Sus scrofa: one gene and its partner. The protein of the gene in region 2 purifies or fractionates together with the protein of the main gene of each other region. This does not show direct contact. Links are inferred from orthologs where the notes say so. Each region holds a gene or a part of one and is shown on either strand. Other genes may lie near its edges.

Evidence for each region. Proteins that work in one complex are often made in the same cells at the same time.
Region 1: the proteins of VBP1 (region 2) and PFDN1 purify together in Homo sapiens (affinity purification with mass spectrometry; 4 studies listed by BioGRID and IntAct, counting the BioPlex papers as one, with this or other methods). This does not show direct contact. The link is inferred for Sus scrofa from reciprocal best matches to the Homo sapiens genes VBP1 and PFDN1.

What each region holds. Positions count from the first base shown.
Region 1 is NC_010444.4:142,073,302-142,081,372, reverse strand, and holds the start of PFDN1 (prefoldin subunit 1), read left to right. Parts: upstream 1-3,372; 5' UTR 3,373-3,488; coding exon 3,489-3,521; intron 3,522-6,565; coding exon 6,566-6,732; intron 6,733-8,071. UniProt on the Homo sapiens protein: Binds specifically to cytosolic chaperonin (c-CPN) and transfers target proteins to it. Binds to nascent polypeptide chain and promotes folding in an environment in which there are many competing pathways for nonnative proteins.
Region 2 is NC_010461.5:125,486,074-125,493,620, reverse strand, and holds part of VBP1 (prefoldin subunit 3), read right to left. Parts: intron 4,415-7,547; coding exon 4,290-4,414; intron 1-4,289. UniProt on the Homo sapiens protein: Binds specifically to cytosolic chaperonin (c-CPN) and transfers target proteins to it. Binds to nascent polypeptide chain and promotes folding in an environment in which there are many competing pathways for nonnative proteins.

The DNA.
Region 1 (8,071 bases), on a different chromosome or scaffold from region 2:
ATGGGATTTGATGCTAGAGGGTCAGACTCCAAAGCCTATACCCTTAACACACTCTGCTGAACTTTCTCTCAAATGGAATGAATGCTTCAGGTTCTGTCTTACAAGATCAAATAACCTGAAGGTTAAGAACTTTGCAACCTGAAAAGCTCTGATGTCAGCAACTGCTAATCCCCCCCCCCAATATTTCTCTTTGAGTTCCTATTCATAATTACAGAATTCTTTGTGATTAGCTAGATACATAGTGGCCCATGATAATAACTACATTTCCCCCAGTCTTTCTTGTCATCAGGAATGGCCATGTGCTTCTGCCTGGGCCAATGTGATATGGACAGAGCCACACCTACAACTTCTGGGCTAGGCCTCTAAAGAGAAGGAGGGCGCCCCCTCATCCCTTTCCCCCTCCCACTAGCGAGGCTATGGACATGGCGGTGTTGAGTCATCTTGGATCACATGGAGAAGACAGAAGGAGCCTGGGAACTGTGCCGTTGTACACAGCACACACTTACCCTACCTTGCTTATGCCTGGATGGTTGTGACAGAGAAAGAGGAGCTTCTGTCTTGGTTCCGCCATTGCCATGTTGGATCTCTGTTGCAGCAGCTGACCTTATAGTCTAACTAATACAGTCCATTCACAGGGGGAAGGATTATTCTCATTACTCCTGCAGAGTGGCTTTGAGACTGCATTAGGCTAAATCGTAAGAATTAACTTTCTCTTCTCAGTAAAAGATATTATCATTGCTCAGGTCAAAACCTAGGAGTCTTGGAGTTCCCGTTGTGGCTCAGTGGTAATGAATCCAACTTGTATCCATGAGGATTCGGATTCAACCCCTGGCCTCTGAGTGGGTTAAGAATCTGGTGTTGCCATGAGCTGTGATATAGGTCGAAGATGTGGCTCGGATCTCATATTGCTGTGGTTGTGGTGTAGGCCGGCAGCTACCGCTCCAATTGGACCCCTAATCTGGGAACGTGCATATGCCACAGGTGCAGCCTTAAAAAGCAAAAGCAAAAGAAACAAAAGAAAACAAACTCCCCCCCAAAACCCCCAAATTAGGAGTCTTTATTTTTCTTTTAGATTTTTTCCCTGCTGCTGTGGGCAGGGAGGTCACAATGAAAGAAAGAGAGGGATCAAAGATGATTTGTAATCTCCTAATAAGTATGCTGAGTGAAAGATGGCTAAGAGTAACATGCTGTATGATTCCATGTCTATAAAGTTCTAGAATATGCAAACAAATCTAAAGAGACTTAAGAAGATCAGTAATTGCCAGAGAGATTGGGGGGGGGGAGACTAAGGGGGAAGCAGAAGGAGCATTAGATAACTTTTGTGGCGATAGATTTATTATCACAATTATGAAGATGGTTTCCTAGATGGGAACTTATCAAATTATACACTTTAATATATTCAGTTTATTATATGCCATTATACCTGAATAAAGATTTTTTTTTTAACAGAGAGTTTCCTGGTGGTCTAGCAGTTAGGATTTAGTGGTTTCATTGATGCAGGGTTTAATCCCTGGTCTGGGAAGTGAGATCCCGCATAAAGCAGCTGCCTGATAACTGTGTGACAAGTAATGTAAACAAAAACAAAAACAATAAAGGAAGAGTTTGCTGGACCTTGAAAGGCAAACACAACAATGCTAACTGCTACTTAATTACAACTATTTATCCAGTATCTACTTGTGCATTGTGTGAAACTTGGAACTTTTCACCTTGATCTTATTCTTTGCCCACATAACACTGTTAGGGTAATATTATTATTCTCTCTCTGTCTCTGTCTCTCTCTCTCTCTTTTTCTTTTTCTTTTCCCCCCAGGGCTGCACCTGCAGCATATGGAAGTTTCCAGGCTGAGAGTTGAGCTGGAGCTGGAGCCGTTGGCCTATGCCACAGCCACAGCAATGCAGGATCTGAGCCTCATCTTTGACCTACACCACAGGTCACAGGCAACACCGGATCCTTAACCCCTTGAACAAAGCCAGGGGTTGAGCCCTAATCCTCATGGATGTGAGTTGGGTACATTGGCACTGAATCATGATGGGAACTCAATAATATTGTTATTTCCATATTAAATAAGGAGACAAACTCTATTGCTACACAGTAAGTAGAACCAGACATATCTAGGCACAAGGTAGACCAAACCTTAGCTACCTTGGAATCTGTCTGGTTCTAAATTACCTGCCCTTTCCTCTCTCTTACAGGTTTTTAGACTAGGCAAAACATCCATTTCTTTCATTTCTAAAAGTCCAATTACCAGCCATCCCTCTGGTTCAAATGCCAGATATTTTACATAAGATTCTCAAAATGTGGTTTGCAGACCACTTGGGGCATTTGCAAAGGTGCAAATTTCTGGGCCCTGATCTCAAAGATTCTAAGTAATTAAGTTTGGGATAAGGACCAGAGAATCTCTGTGTGCGTGTTTAAAATATACATATTTTATTTTATTCATTAATTTTTTTGTCTTTTTGCCTTTTCTAGGGCTGCTCCCTTGGCATATGGAGGTTCCCAGGCTAGGGGTCTAATCGGAGCTGTAGCCACCGGCCTACGCCAGAGCCACAGCAACGCGGGATCCGAGCCACGTCTGCGACCTACATCACAGCTCACGGCAACGACGGATCCTTAACCCATTGAGCAAGGCCAGGGGTCGAACCCGCAACCTCATGGTTCCTAGTCGGATTCGTTTCTGCTGCGCCACGACGGGAACTCCAAAATATATATATTTGAAACAAACTAATTTGGTTTGTGAGAACCACTGTGTCAAGAAGGTCTTCCATGAGTGTTCAGTATAACTAAGTTCTTTGGAGGAACAGTTCGGCTAAGCCTTCCGGTTTTCTCTATATTGGCATGTATGAGGCGTGGGCTGAATTTTCGTTTTTTGTTTTTGTCTTTTTAGGGCCGCAACATATGGAGGTTCCCAGGCTAGGGGTTGAATCAGAGCTGTAGCTGTCGGCCTGCATCAGAGCCACAGCAGCCATCCCAGTCGTGTCTGTGATCTCCACCACAGCTCAGGCAACACCGGATCCTTAACCCTCTGAGCCAGGCCAGGGATCGAACCTGCAACCTCATAGTTCCTAGTCCGATTCGTTTCCTCTGCACCAGGATGCAAACTCCTGGGATTCTTTGTCCTCCCTGACAGCACAGGGACCCTGACTGAAGAGGTTTTGGCCTCATCTACATACATCTCAATTTAGCAGCACAAACTAAGGTATTTGTCAAAAATACTTAAAACCATGCACGAAATCTGCGCGTGGTGCGGTGTCTGGAAGGATGTGGAGAAACAGGCCAAGCCTATAGGTCACGAGAAACATGTGCTTTTAATCGGAATCTAGGGTTCTCTGGGTGGAGGGGGGATTCCTAGCGCTGGAGAGCGGAGGAAACCAAGCAGCTCGGCTCCTGCGCAGGCGTAGAAGGAAAGGGGACGATCCGCCAAGGCGCGCCCTTCCCCCACCCTTCTTTCCGGCCTTCTCCCAGCGCGCAGGCGCAGAGAGGGAATCAAGATGGCGGCTCCCGTGGATCTGGAGTTGAAGAAGGTAAAAGAGGGTTTTGAGCAGGCAGGCTTCTCTTTGGAAGCTAACGGGACCGTAGACAAGAATATCGAGTGAGACCCAAGTCCCGCGGAGGGAAGAAGGTCCCAGGGCATTGGGGAATGCTTTCCCAGAGTCCTTCAGGCGGGACTGGGTCGCCTTAGGCTGGAGTCGGGGCGAGCAGCTCTTTGCTGGAAGAGAGCTGGTAGGGCTGGGGCTGGTTAAGTCTGGCGGGCCGATAGCTGTTTTGAGTCCCTTGTTCCGGGCTCCAGAGCCCTTTCCTTGTTCTTGGAGCCTTCAGTCCTATTGTAAGGCCTGAAGTGAGCGTTTCAAGTTGGAGCCCCTTGAGACAGCTTGCCCGAGCTGAGGCATCCGTAATTCTGCATCCTAATTTGCTTTGACAAACTCCAGGTCCAACCTGTGTTTTTAGGCCACTTCTTCAATCCCGTACCTCTAAGGTCGCGACATACTCTTAAATCAGATATTCTCAGCACTGTTTGGCTCCCTCCCTAGCCCCTCCACCCCTCCCCTTTTAAAGGGTTTGTCAAAAAAGAAGCAAAGTCTAGTGAAAGTTTTCTAAATGGAATCGGTATCAGAAGGAATTGGGTTTCTCCCTTCCCATAGTTGCCTGTAAATGTGTTGTTACTCAGAGACGTTTTTGCCACTTAAAGAATTGTCAGGATTGTGACACCGCTACCAACTCAAAAGCATATCTTTTTTTTTTTTTTTTTTTGAGAGGGGGATGGGTTGGGGATTGGAAAGGATCTTAGACTTCATCTGCTCTAAACTTTTACTTTTCTAGAAATAAAAACAGTTACAGAAAAGACTCAGGCCATGGTTAGGATCAGAATCCAATATTTTCTGCCTTCCCGCCTTTTGGCCATTAGTTTAGGTACTTCAGAAGGGCATCTTGTACTAAAACCATTCCGGTCAACCTTTGTGTCAGACATAGGGCAGGTGAAATAGCTTTTGCACCCAATAAGCAAAGCTGTTTACTATTGCTCTGAGGATTTGTGTATGTCCTTTTTGCCATTTTTGTTTCGAAACTTGTATCTTTAGTCTTTACGTGGTCTCTAATGCTGTCCCATCTTAGCTTTAACAATATACTAGGTTCCTTAGCAAACTGTGTCGTAAAGCATCCTAAAAGCCCCCCTCCTTTTTTTTTTTTTCTGTTCAAATTAAGTCAGGGTTTAGTGAAAGAGCCAACAATAGAGTACAGCTGTGAATGGGTTTACCTCAGTATTATTTGAATTTGTTGCTAGGAAACCTGTGGGCAATGAATGCAAACTAAGAAAATGTTACGGACTTAAATTGATTGCAGACAAATTGATTACAGACTTAAACGATTATAGACTTAAATGAGTACAGACTTGAATTGGGTAGCTTTGACAACCAGTGAAATTAACTCAAAAAAACTTGTTTAAGGATATTCTAATGTCTTTATAATGTCTTTTTTTTTGGTCATTTTTGGCCACCCCACAGCATATGGAGCTCCTAGGCGAGGGATCAGATTGGAGTTACAGCTGCGACCTCAGCTGCAGCTGCAGCAATGCTGGATCCCTAATCCACTGTGCCGGTGGGGTTTGAACCCTCATCCCAGTGGCTCCCAAGACTCCACTGGTCCCGTTGCGCCACAGTGGGAGCTCGGGTCTTTTTTTTTTTTTTTGAGTGGAGACAAGTAGGACATTTTAGGCACCTCCTCTAACTCTAAACAAAATTTTGAAACCTTACTAGTAGGTGAGAACAAAGCCAGAGTAGAAGTTAAATAGCAGCTTTTGCCATGCATTGCAGCCACAAAAATTATTATTCAAGTATTAAGGCATAAATTTGACAGGATGTGAAAGTCATTCTAGGCTCTTCAACAAGAGTACCTAGGAGCTTTTTGAGTTAAGGGTACCCAAGGGTCAGATTTGGCTTGGTGTGTGCCTCTGTCATGATATAATTCTTCTTCCAGTGTTTCAAATATTTTCTTTTTTGTCCTTCTCTTAAAATATGCATTTTCTGAATATTACTATAGACAGCAGAACGGAAAGGTTTTTGAACTAGAAGTCAAGAAATGGACTTAAGAGCTCACTTTTAGACCTCTTAGTTGTTCAACCATGTGCAAGTCATTTATATCTCTTTCAAACATTTAGTTACTTAATTTATAAGCTGTGGTGATGAAACTGCTTGCCCTAACTCAGGATTGTTGAGAAGAGTAAATGAGGTATTTATTATTACATCTATTAGTGTTCTCATATTAATATTTACATATTAATAGTTCAAAAAATGTGGGAAAGTGCTTTGAAAACTAGTTGTAAAATATAAATGTAGTGAGTAGTTACATTTATGGTTCTTGTTTTGGATCTCTGGGTTTCATCCGCTGACTGTTGCATTTAGTGCCTATATTACTCCTTGGGTACCTGCTACTTGATATGTTTATTATTTACCATGTCTTTGTTCTGCTGCTTCAAATAGACAGCATCTTTTGAGGACTGGGTAAATTCAAAACAGTTGACCCTTGAACAACACAGGTTTAAACTGCGGGGATCCAATTGTACATAGATTTTTAAAGGTATTACTACAGTACCACACACTGTGTGATTGGTTGAAATCCAGATGTAGAACCAAGGATACAGAGGAACTGCTATATGGAGGGTCAGCTGTAAATTACACTGGGATTTTTTTTTTTTTTTGGCCATGCCTAAGGCATGTGGAAATTTCTAGCCCAGGGACTAAATGTGCTCCACAGCTATAACCAGAATCACAGCAGTGACAACTCCAGATCCTTAACCTCCTAGCCAGGAGGAAACTCCTGTACTCAGCATTTTGACAACATGGAGAGTCAGTGCCCCTAAGCCTTGAGTTGTTCAAGAGTCAAGAATATTTAGCATAGTGGCTTGATCATTTATAATTATATGAACGTTTATTGATGTTTGCGCAGGTAACAAACATCAAATTTTATAACTTTGTCTCAGCAGGCTTTATTTTAATATGTTTAAATTTGACTTAAATATTTTCTGTAAAATGTTTCACTTACTAAATCAAGGACTTTTTTTTTTTTTTTTAAGGCCTTCACAGAGCTTCAAGCTAAAGTTATTGACACTCAACAGAAGGTGAAGCTTGCAGACATACAGATTGAACAGCTCAACAGGACAAAAAAGCATGCACATCTTACAGATACGGAGATTATGACTTTGGTAGATGAGACCAACATGTATGAAGGTGTAGGAAGAATGTAAGTAAAATATATCCTTAAGGGGGTTATCTTGGAAGAGGTTTTGTCTGGATTAAATTGTAAAATTTGTTCACTTTAAAATTTAAATTAAAATATCAGAGTAGCTTTAAAGATTGTCTAGTCAATATCTTCTTTTTTTTTTTTTAAATGAGAAACTGATGTCTTTAATTTTTTTCTTTCTTTTTTTTTTTTTTTTTTTGTCTTTTGTCCTTTCCTAGGGCCGCTCCCACGACACATGGAGGTTCCCAGGCTAGGGGTCAAATCGGAGCTGTAGCCGCCGGCCTACACCAGAGCCACAGCAACGCAGGATCTGAGCTGCATCTGAGACCTACACCACAGCTCAGGGCAATGCTGGATCCTTAACTCATTGGGCAAGGCCAGGGATGGAACCCGAAACCTCATGGTTCCTAGTCGGATTCATTAACCTTTGAGCCGCAATGGGAACTCCTAATTTTTAACTTTGAAGTACATTTTTAAAATATTTATTTCCCTGTTCTTCTCTCTACTTACGTACATAAGCGTGTAACTTGAATGATAAAAACATGATTTGTTATGAAAAGATGTTTATAGTAGTTTTATGGGTGAAGATTGATTTAAGCAGTTGTAGTTTTAACCTCCCCTTAGCAACCTAATTATTAGTAGTCATTCACATTATAAATCTTTTAGTTGTTTGACTAGTGTTGTGAAATAAAAATACTCAGTTGTCATTTAAATACACTCATTCTGTCATACATGAGAAATCTAGTAAATCAATTTACCTATTGTTCTAATTATTATTATATGATTAACCACCTACATTTCACTTTTTTCCTTTTAAAAATATATTACCCTTATGGGAGTTCCTGTCGTGGTGCAGTGGTTAACAAATCCGACTAGGAACCATGAGGTTGAGGGTTCTATCCCTGGCCTTGCTCAGTGGGTTAAGGATCCAGCATTGCCCTGAGCTGTGGTGTAGGTCTCGGATGCAGCTCGGATCCTGCGTTGCTGTGGCTCTGGTGTAGGCCGGCGGCTACAGCTCCGATTTGACCCCTAGCCTGGGAACCTCCATATGCCGCGGGAGCGGCCCTAGAAAAGGCAAAAAGACCAAAAAAAAAAAAAAAAAAATTACTCTTTTGAGAAAAAATAGACCTGCTTTTTGTTTTCTAAGTAGTTAAATAGGAATGGAGAAGCCCTTAGCTACAGGTCACATTCCATCACAATGAGCTCAAAGAGACAGATTTTTTTTTTTTTTTTTTTTTCTTTAAATAAGTAAGAGAGGTACAGGAGGAGGGTTTTCTGAATTTTGGTCTTTGAATATTACTTACTAAGTGGACCATTACTTAAGTTTGGAGATCTTTTA
Region 2 (7,547 bases):
CGAACCCACACCACAGCAGTGGCCTGAACCACTACAGTGACAACGCCAGATCCTTAACCTGCTACACCACAAGAGAATCCAAGAAGACATAATTTTCAAACCGCATATACTGAATAAAACAGACTAAAAAGCTTTAAAAAAACAAACAAAAAAAAGGAGTTCCCACTGTGGTTCACTGGGTTAAGGACCTGATGTTGCCTCCCTGAGGATGCAGGTTTGATCCCTGGCCTCACTCAGTGGGTGAAGGATCCAGCATTGTCACAGATGCAGCTCAGATCTCAGATCTGGCCTTCCTGTGGCCCAATTCGATCCCTAGCCCAGGAATTTCCATATGCTGCAGATGCCTCAGTAAAAAGGGGAAAAAAAAAAAAAAGGATACAAATTGTTTCAGGTTAAGATGGCAGCAGACCAGCACTCCTACCTCTAGCTGTTCAAGTAGCCAGAGAAAATACACACTTCCTCAGTAACAAGGCAGCAGACAGCTGTTGAGGTGAGAGGAACTACAGGGCTACTCCTGCAAGGGAACAAACTGAGGGGTGAGCTGATTTCTTGCAGCCACTTTTACCAAACAGTACGTGAAGGGACATTTCTCTTTATAGAAGTATGCCAACTTACTAATAAGTAAAAAATAAATAACTGAATTAAAACATCGTCATTTCGCAACTCATAATTAATGGATCTAGGCAGTGAGTATCATCGTAAGAGAACTAGATACTACCTGACTCTTAATGGAAAAGCAATGTACAAACCTACAAAGCACTGTTGACAAAAAAAAAAAAAAAAAAAAAGAAAGAAAGAAAGAAAAAGAACGTGTGGAGTTCCCGTCGTGGCGCAGTGGTTAACGAATCCGACTAGGAACCACGAGGTTGCGGGTTCGGTCCCTGCCCCTGCTCAGTGGGTTAACGATCCGGCGTTGCCGTGAGCTGTGGTGTAGGTTGTAGACACAGCTCGGATCACACGTTGCTGTGGCTCTGGTGTAGGCTGGCAGCTACAGCTCCGATTAGACCCCTAGCCTGGGAACCTCCATATGCCGCAGGAGCGGCCCAAGACTGCAGATACAACTATCAATGTACAAAACAGAAAGAGCAAAGAAACATGCTTGAAAATCCCATGACTGCTTCGAAATTTAGCAACATACTTCTGAATATCTCATGAATTACAGATCTAAGTGTGAAAGATAAAACAACAAAGCTTTGAGAACAAAATACTAAGAATATCTTCACAAACTTAGGTTATTTCTTCAACAGATACAAAAGGCACTAAACATTAAGGGAAAAGACTGTTAAATCAGAGTACATTAAAATTAAAGTGCTGAGTCAAACAGTATGTCCACAGTGTATCTATTTAAAAACATAAAGAAATTGGAAGCCTACCATATACCATACATAAAAATAAATTTCTGATGGCTTAAGAAGTTAGATGTGAAAAGGAACATTTTAAGGCTTTTAGAAGAAAACAAAGTTCCTGTCGTGGCTCAGCGGTTAGCGAACCTGACTAGCATCCATGAGGACTCAGGTTCCATCCCTGGCCTCGCTCAGTGGGTTAAGGATCCAGCGTTGCCGTGAGCTGTGGTGTAGGTCACAGATGCAGCTTGGATGCAGCTGTGGCGTAGGCCGGCAACCATAGCTCCAGTTCAACCCCTAGCCTGAGAACTTCCATATATCGCAGGTGCAGCCCCCAAAAAGCAAAGAACTACTCATCAAAAGAATCGAAAGGGAAATAAAGATACATTACAAAAGAAAAATGTCTCATACATATAACCTAAAAGGACTAGTGTCCAATATATACAGAATTCCTACAAATAAAAAGACAACCAACTCACTATTAAAATGGATAAAACTCTTCACAAAAGTTTTCCATATCTGTTGTCTCTAATTCTTTTTTTTTTTTTTCTTTTTTTTTCTTTTTGTCTTTTGTCTTTTTTGTTGTTGTTGTTGTTATTGTTGCTATTTCTAGGGCCGCTCCCGCGGCATATGGAGGTTCCCAGGCTAGGGGTTGAATCGGAGCTGTAGCCACCGGCCTATGCCAGAGCCACAGCAACTCGTGATCCGAGCCGCGTCTGCAACCTACACCACAGCTCACGGCAACGCGGGATCGTTAACCCACTGAGCAAGGCCAGGGATCGAACCCGCAACCTCATGGTTCCTAGTCGGATTCATTAACCACTGCGCCACAACGGGAACTCCTGTTGTCTCTAATTCTATCATTCTCTTTGGAACCACTGTTCCCGTCCAGATGAGCAGTGACTTCCACTTTGCTGAGTCCATTCTCAGTCCTTATCCCACTGAGGTGAGCCATCAGCAGCATTTGGCCCAGGCGATCATTTCCTCCTCCATGATACACTTTCTTAGCTTGGCTTCCAGAACCCTATGATCCACTGAGTCTCCCTAACTTCATACTGTTGCAATGCCCCGATCTGTGTTTTTACATAAACTCTGTTGGTGATGCAGCTCATTTAGACTCCGGCTTTAAATGACTCCCCAGTTTTTATCTCCAGCCCAGATCATTCCCGAAATACAATCATTTAATTGCAAATAAGAAAAAATATCATATTCCCACCACCCAAAGATTTTCAATGTTAATATAATATTAGTGTCCCTTCTTCCAGATATTTCTGTGCACATATACATTTTTTCCAAAATGAGCACAGAGCGTTTTCTATCCTTTTCTTTCATCAACCTTCATCTGTCCATGTCAACGACTTTTCATATCATGTAACACCCAGCCCTTATTCAAAGTTCCTCAACTGTCATCAAAATCAAATGGGAAAATATACCTAAAAAATAAACTTTTTTATCTTTGCAGAAGTGGTACCCTCATGCCCAGACCACCCTTCCTCACTTTAGTTTGCCTCCACACTCATAACCAGCCTTCAAAGTTCTACACAGCCATCTGCTCCTCTCGGAAGCTTCCCCTGAGCCCTTTGTACCCTTCAGATCACACCTTCCCCTGTTGTGCCATTAGCTCACTGCTCTGCACCACAAGCACCCTGACTGCATACTTATTTACATACCTATCAGGCCCCTATAGACTATGTCACTGTTGAAAGCAGATACTAGACCTTCTTTCACCCAAAATAATATCTGGTACCTATGAGGAATTCCAGAAATATTTAACTGCCAGAAGAATGCTGGCACCTGTGCATAGCAGATCCATAAATATTCATCACTATGAACTGACTTCATAAGCTACTATAAAAATATAGGGGAATACAGGATTGAGAGCAAGGGTACTTTGGTCCTATGTCTATTAGCTATGAAGTCTTAGGAAAGTTATAACCTCAGCAAAATGAAAAGGAAGAACCAGACATTTAAGATGCTATGATCCTAGAGGCCTTGGAATTAAGGACCTCAATATTCTTTCTATTGGAGTTCCCGTCGTGGCGCAGTGGTTAACGAATCCGACTAGGAACCATGAGGTTGCGGGTTCGGTCCCTGCCCTTGCTCAGTGGGTTAACGATCCGGCGTTGCCGTGAGCTGTGGTGTAGGTTGCAGACGCGGCTCGGATCCCGCATTGCTGTGGCTCTGGCGTAGGCCGGTGGCTACAGCTCCGATTCAACCCCTAGCCTGGGAACCTCCATATGCCTCGGGAGCGGCCCAAGAAATAGCAACAACAACAACAACAGACAAAAAGACAAAAGACAAAAAAAAAAAAAAAATTCTTTCTATTATGTTTCCATAAGCATATTTAGACTGACAATACCAAGTGCTGGCGAGAATGAGGAACTCCATAAATTGCTGGTGGCAGTGCAACCTGGTAGAGCCACCTTGGAGGACTTCTGGCAGTTTTTTACAAGATTAAACATACATTTGCCATACACATCAGCAATTCCACCCCTAGGCAACCCAGGAGAAATGAAAGCATATGTCCACACAAAGACTTAAGACCAAATGGGAAAACAACCCAATGTCTATCAACAGGCAAACAGACAAAAAATAGACCAAAATTGTGGTTACATCCACATACAATGAAAAATGACTCAGCACTAAAAAGAAACTAATTTACTGACACAACACCATACCATGGTGAAAATAATCGTAACAGTGGTTATCTCTGGGAGTGGGCAGGGTTGGCAGGAAAGGGGCGGGAGGGAACTTCCTGGGGTAACAGAAATGTCCTATATGTATTGATCTGGGCAATGGTTACACAAGTGGATATGTTTATCAAAATTCATCAAACTGAACAGCCAACACACAGACATTTTATTTGTATGTAAATTATGTTTTGATCTTTTAAAAGTTTAAGCCACACAATATTAATTTTAAAAACGTAATCCTTTTTGCACTTACCTCCTTTTCTTTTGAGCAAGGTTGAGCTCCATAAACTTATACTTCTGGTACTGTTCATCCAGCTTCTTCAGTACTGTATCTGCAGTCTCATTCCCAGGCTGTTTCATGAAGGAATCTACATCTTCCTTTAAGAGCAAAAGAAAACATTACAAATTTGAGAATTTATACCTCTGATTTTTGCTTTAAGTTTTGGTTTTTGTTTGGTTTTTCAGGGTTTTTTGTTTTTTTTTTTTTTTGTCTTTTTAGGGCCGTACCCATGGCATGTGAAGGTTCCCAGGCTAGGGGTTAAATGGGAGCTACAGCTGCCAGCCTACACCACAGCCACAGCCACGCCAGATCCGAGCCTACACCACAGCTCACGGCAATGCCGGGATCCTGAACCCACTGAGCGAAGCCTGGAATCGTACCTGCAACCTCATGGTTCCTAGTCAGATTCATTTCTGCTGCGCCACGACGGGAACTTCCTAAGTTTATTTTTAAGACAGAAAAAGAGCCTGTGTTTCTCTTTCTCCAAAAGCTTGCTTTTTAACTAAGAAAGAAGCAGTTATAAAAAGCTAGAGGCCATTTCAGAGAGCGCACATACACTGTGTATATAAGTTATTCCTCTTCCACCTTCCTCTTTTTATTTATATACAAGGAAAGAAAGATGACCTTGTCTGCTTTATGCATCCTCCATGCAGCACTCGCAGCCACAAAAATGACTCGACAGGTTGTATGCCAAAGTTACCAATTTTTTTTTTTTTTGTCTTTTTGCCATTTCTTGGGCCACATCCATGGCATATGGAGGTTCCCAGGCTAGGGGTCCAATCGGAGCTGTAGCCGCCAGCCTACACCACAGCCACAGCCACGCGGGACCCTTAACTCACCGAGCAAGGCCAGGGATCAAACCCGAAACCTCATGGTTGGTTCCCAGTCGGATTCATTAACCACTGAGCCATGACAGGAACTCCCAAAATTACCAATTTTATTACTTAAATTTTTAACTAAACAAGTGCTGCCATAGAAGTCATGCTAAATATGGTCATTGGGTTCCCAAGACAAGCCACAAATGCCTCCTTAAGTATGAAGTGGTTGAAATAAAGTAAACCTAAAGGGCAAACAGAAGGATCTTCTGTTACAGGAATAATTAAGCAAAAGAAAAGCAATAAAACCGAACGGCATTTTTTTTTTCTTTAATGTATTCTACACATGCTGGGTCCTTGAAGAAAAGCTTGTTAATTAGATCAGGATCAGGAATAGGTGAAACTACATGGAAACTTTAAGGAGACTTTATAAGAGGCTTCCAATGGTTTAAAGAACCTTAGTCCTTCACTGTAAGTAAGTTAAATTCAAAAATCTTACAGTTTATGGGATCTCTAAATCATTATTCTTATCCATGCTTACTAGCAATAAGGGAATATTTTAGCCAAAACAAGACAAGAAGAAAAAGGAAGAGAAACACAGCAAGGGAGTGAATTATGAAGCCATCAAGCTAGACACAGTAAAAGAAATTGAAAAGGTGAGGCTGAAGCGATGGCTGAGTCGTGCATGTAAAATGGAGATAGCATCTTCCTAGAAGGACCACTGTAGGAAGAAAGAGACTGAGTGAGGTCGAAGTTTCTAGCACATGTTATTAGGAGGTTAGACTGCAGCAAGAAGAATTAACTACAGCAGCACAGGTTTATGGTTAGAAGACAGGGGCTGCCTGTTTTGAATGCTGGCTTCATCACATACTAGATGTACTGACCTCGGGGAAGTTATTAAACCTTTTGCTTTGTCTCAATTTCCTCATCTGCAAAATGAAAAAGAGGTAACCACCTCACAGGGGATCAAGTGAGTTAGCATGTGTAAAATACCCAGAAGGACATACAACAGCTACTAGTAAGTGTTCAACAAACATTAGCTATGTCTACAGCACAACGTGTGAAGGGAACAGAAGAAAGTGCCAAGAAGTCTGTCTTGGAGTGATGGTCTGCCTTGGAGATAAGGCAATAGAGATACAAACCAAACTAGGGTACTGCGTCCTATCATCACAGAAACTAATATATATTAAGCATCTACTTGCAATACTGAAAGCACATTCTGTTTCTCGTGGAAACTCTCTAAGTATTGTTACCGCCTATTTCAGTTAAAGAAACAGAGGCTCAAAGTTGTAAAATAATACGTTCGAGGCTGAGCAGCAAGTGGGAAGTAGAGGCAGGATTCAAACTCTGGTCTATTTAGAAACCAATGTTCTTTATACTGTGCTGTGCTATTCTAACTACTTTGAGAAAATAAAAATATTTACATAAAATTTGGATTGGTTTTATCATTTGGTAGAAATTTTAAGATCTAGAAAAAATAACCCATAACATTTTAAGGAAAAACGTATAAAGCCCTCAGATAAAGTTTATCCTTGTGAACTAGAGTGCTGAGCCCATGTCTCGCTGAGCACCATCACTGTAGTACTTTAAGGCACTACAGAAATTCAGCATCTGGTTATAAGCTTACACTATGTGTCAGGTACTGTGCCAGGATCAGGGGAAATGACAGTGAGCAAGACAACTACCTCATGTTCCTCCTGGTGGCAGAGCTTGACAGTAAGGAGAGGCTCTAGAGTCCTACAGAGGGCCCAAGTTCAAACCCTGGATAACTCTCTGGCACCCTGCGTGACTTGGGGCAAGTTACTCCAGGGTTCTGTGCCTCAGTTTCATCATCTACAAAATGAGAATAACAGTACCTGCCGCCTAGGGTTTTGTAACAGCATGAGGAAAGTGGCTGGTATTTAAGAAATTGTATCTCTAGTTAACAACTAGGTGGGAAATGAGGGTAAAGAAATAAAACGGCACAGCTCAGGGAGAAAAGACAAAATAAAGAAAACAGTAGAAAACTGAATCGGCACATGCAAATATGCATAGTGTACCTTAAGAGTGGCCTAAATAAAAGAATAAATAAAATAAACGGGTCTTTTGAAGACTCTAAGATATGATTAACAAAAAGGTGGAGGAGATAAGGCAACAGAGGCACAAACCAAAAGGTCGAGAAACTTCCACAGAGATTTCATAGTTGTTCAGCCAGAAGTGAGTGGACAGAGACGGGTTATATTGGTCTGGAAGGGCAGTCAGGTCTTTTCTCATTATTGAAAGAGCTTTCAAATACTATTTCGAGAATTTTACGGAAGCGCAGGAGTGGAAGCGTCTACTTGCTTCTCTTTGTTTGGACTCGGGTTGGTCTCCCCATTCTGCGAAGCCTCCAAAATTGCATTCCCTGCTTCGCCTCTGAACTCCACCCGATTTATTC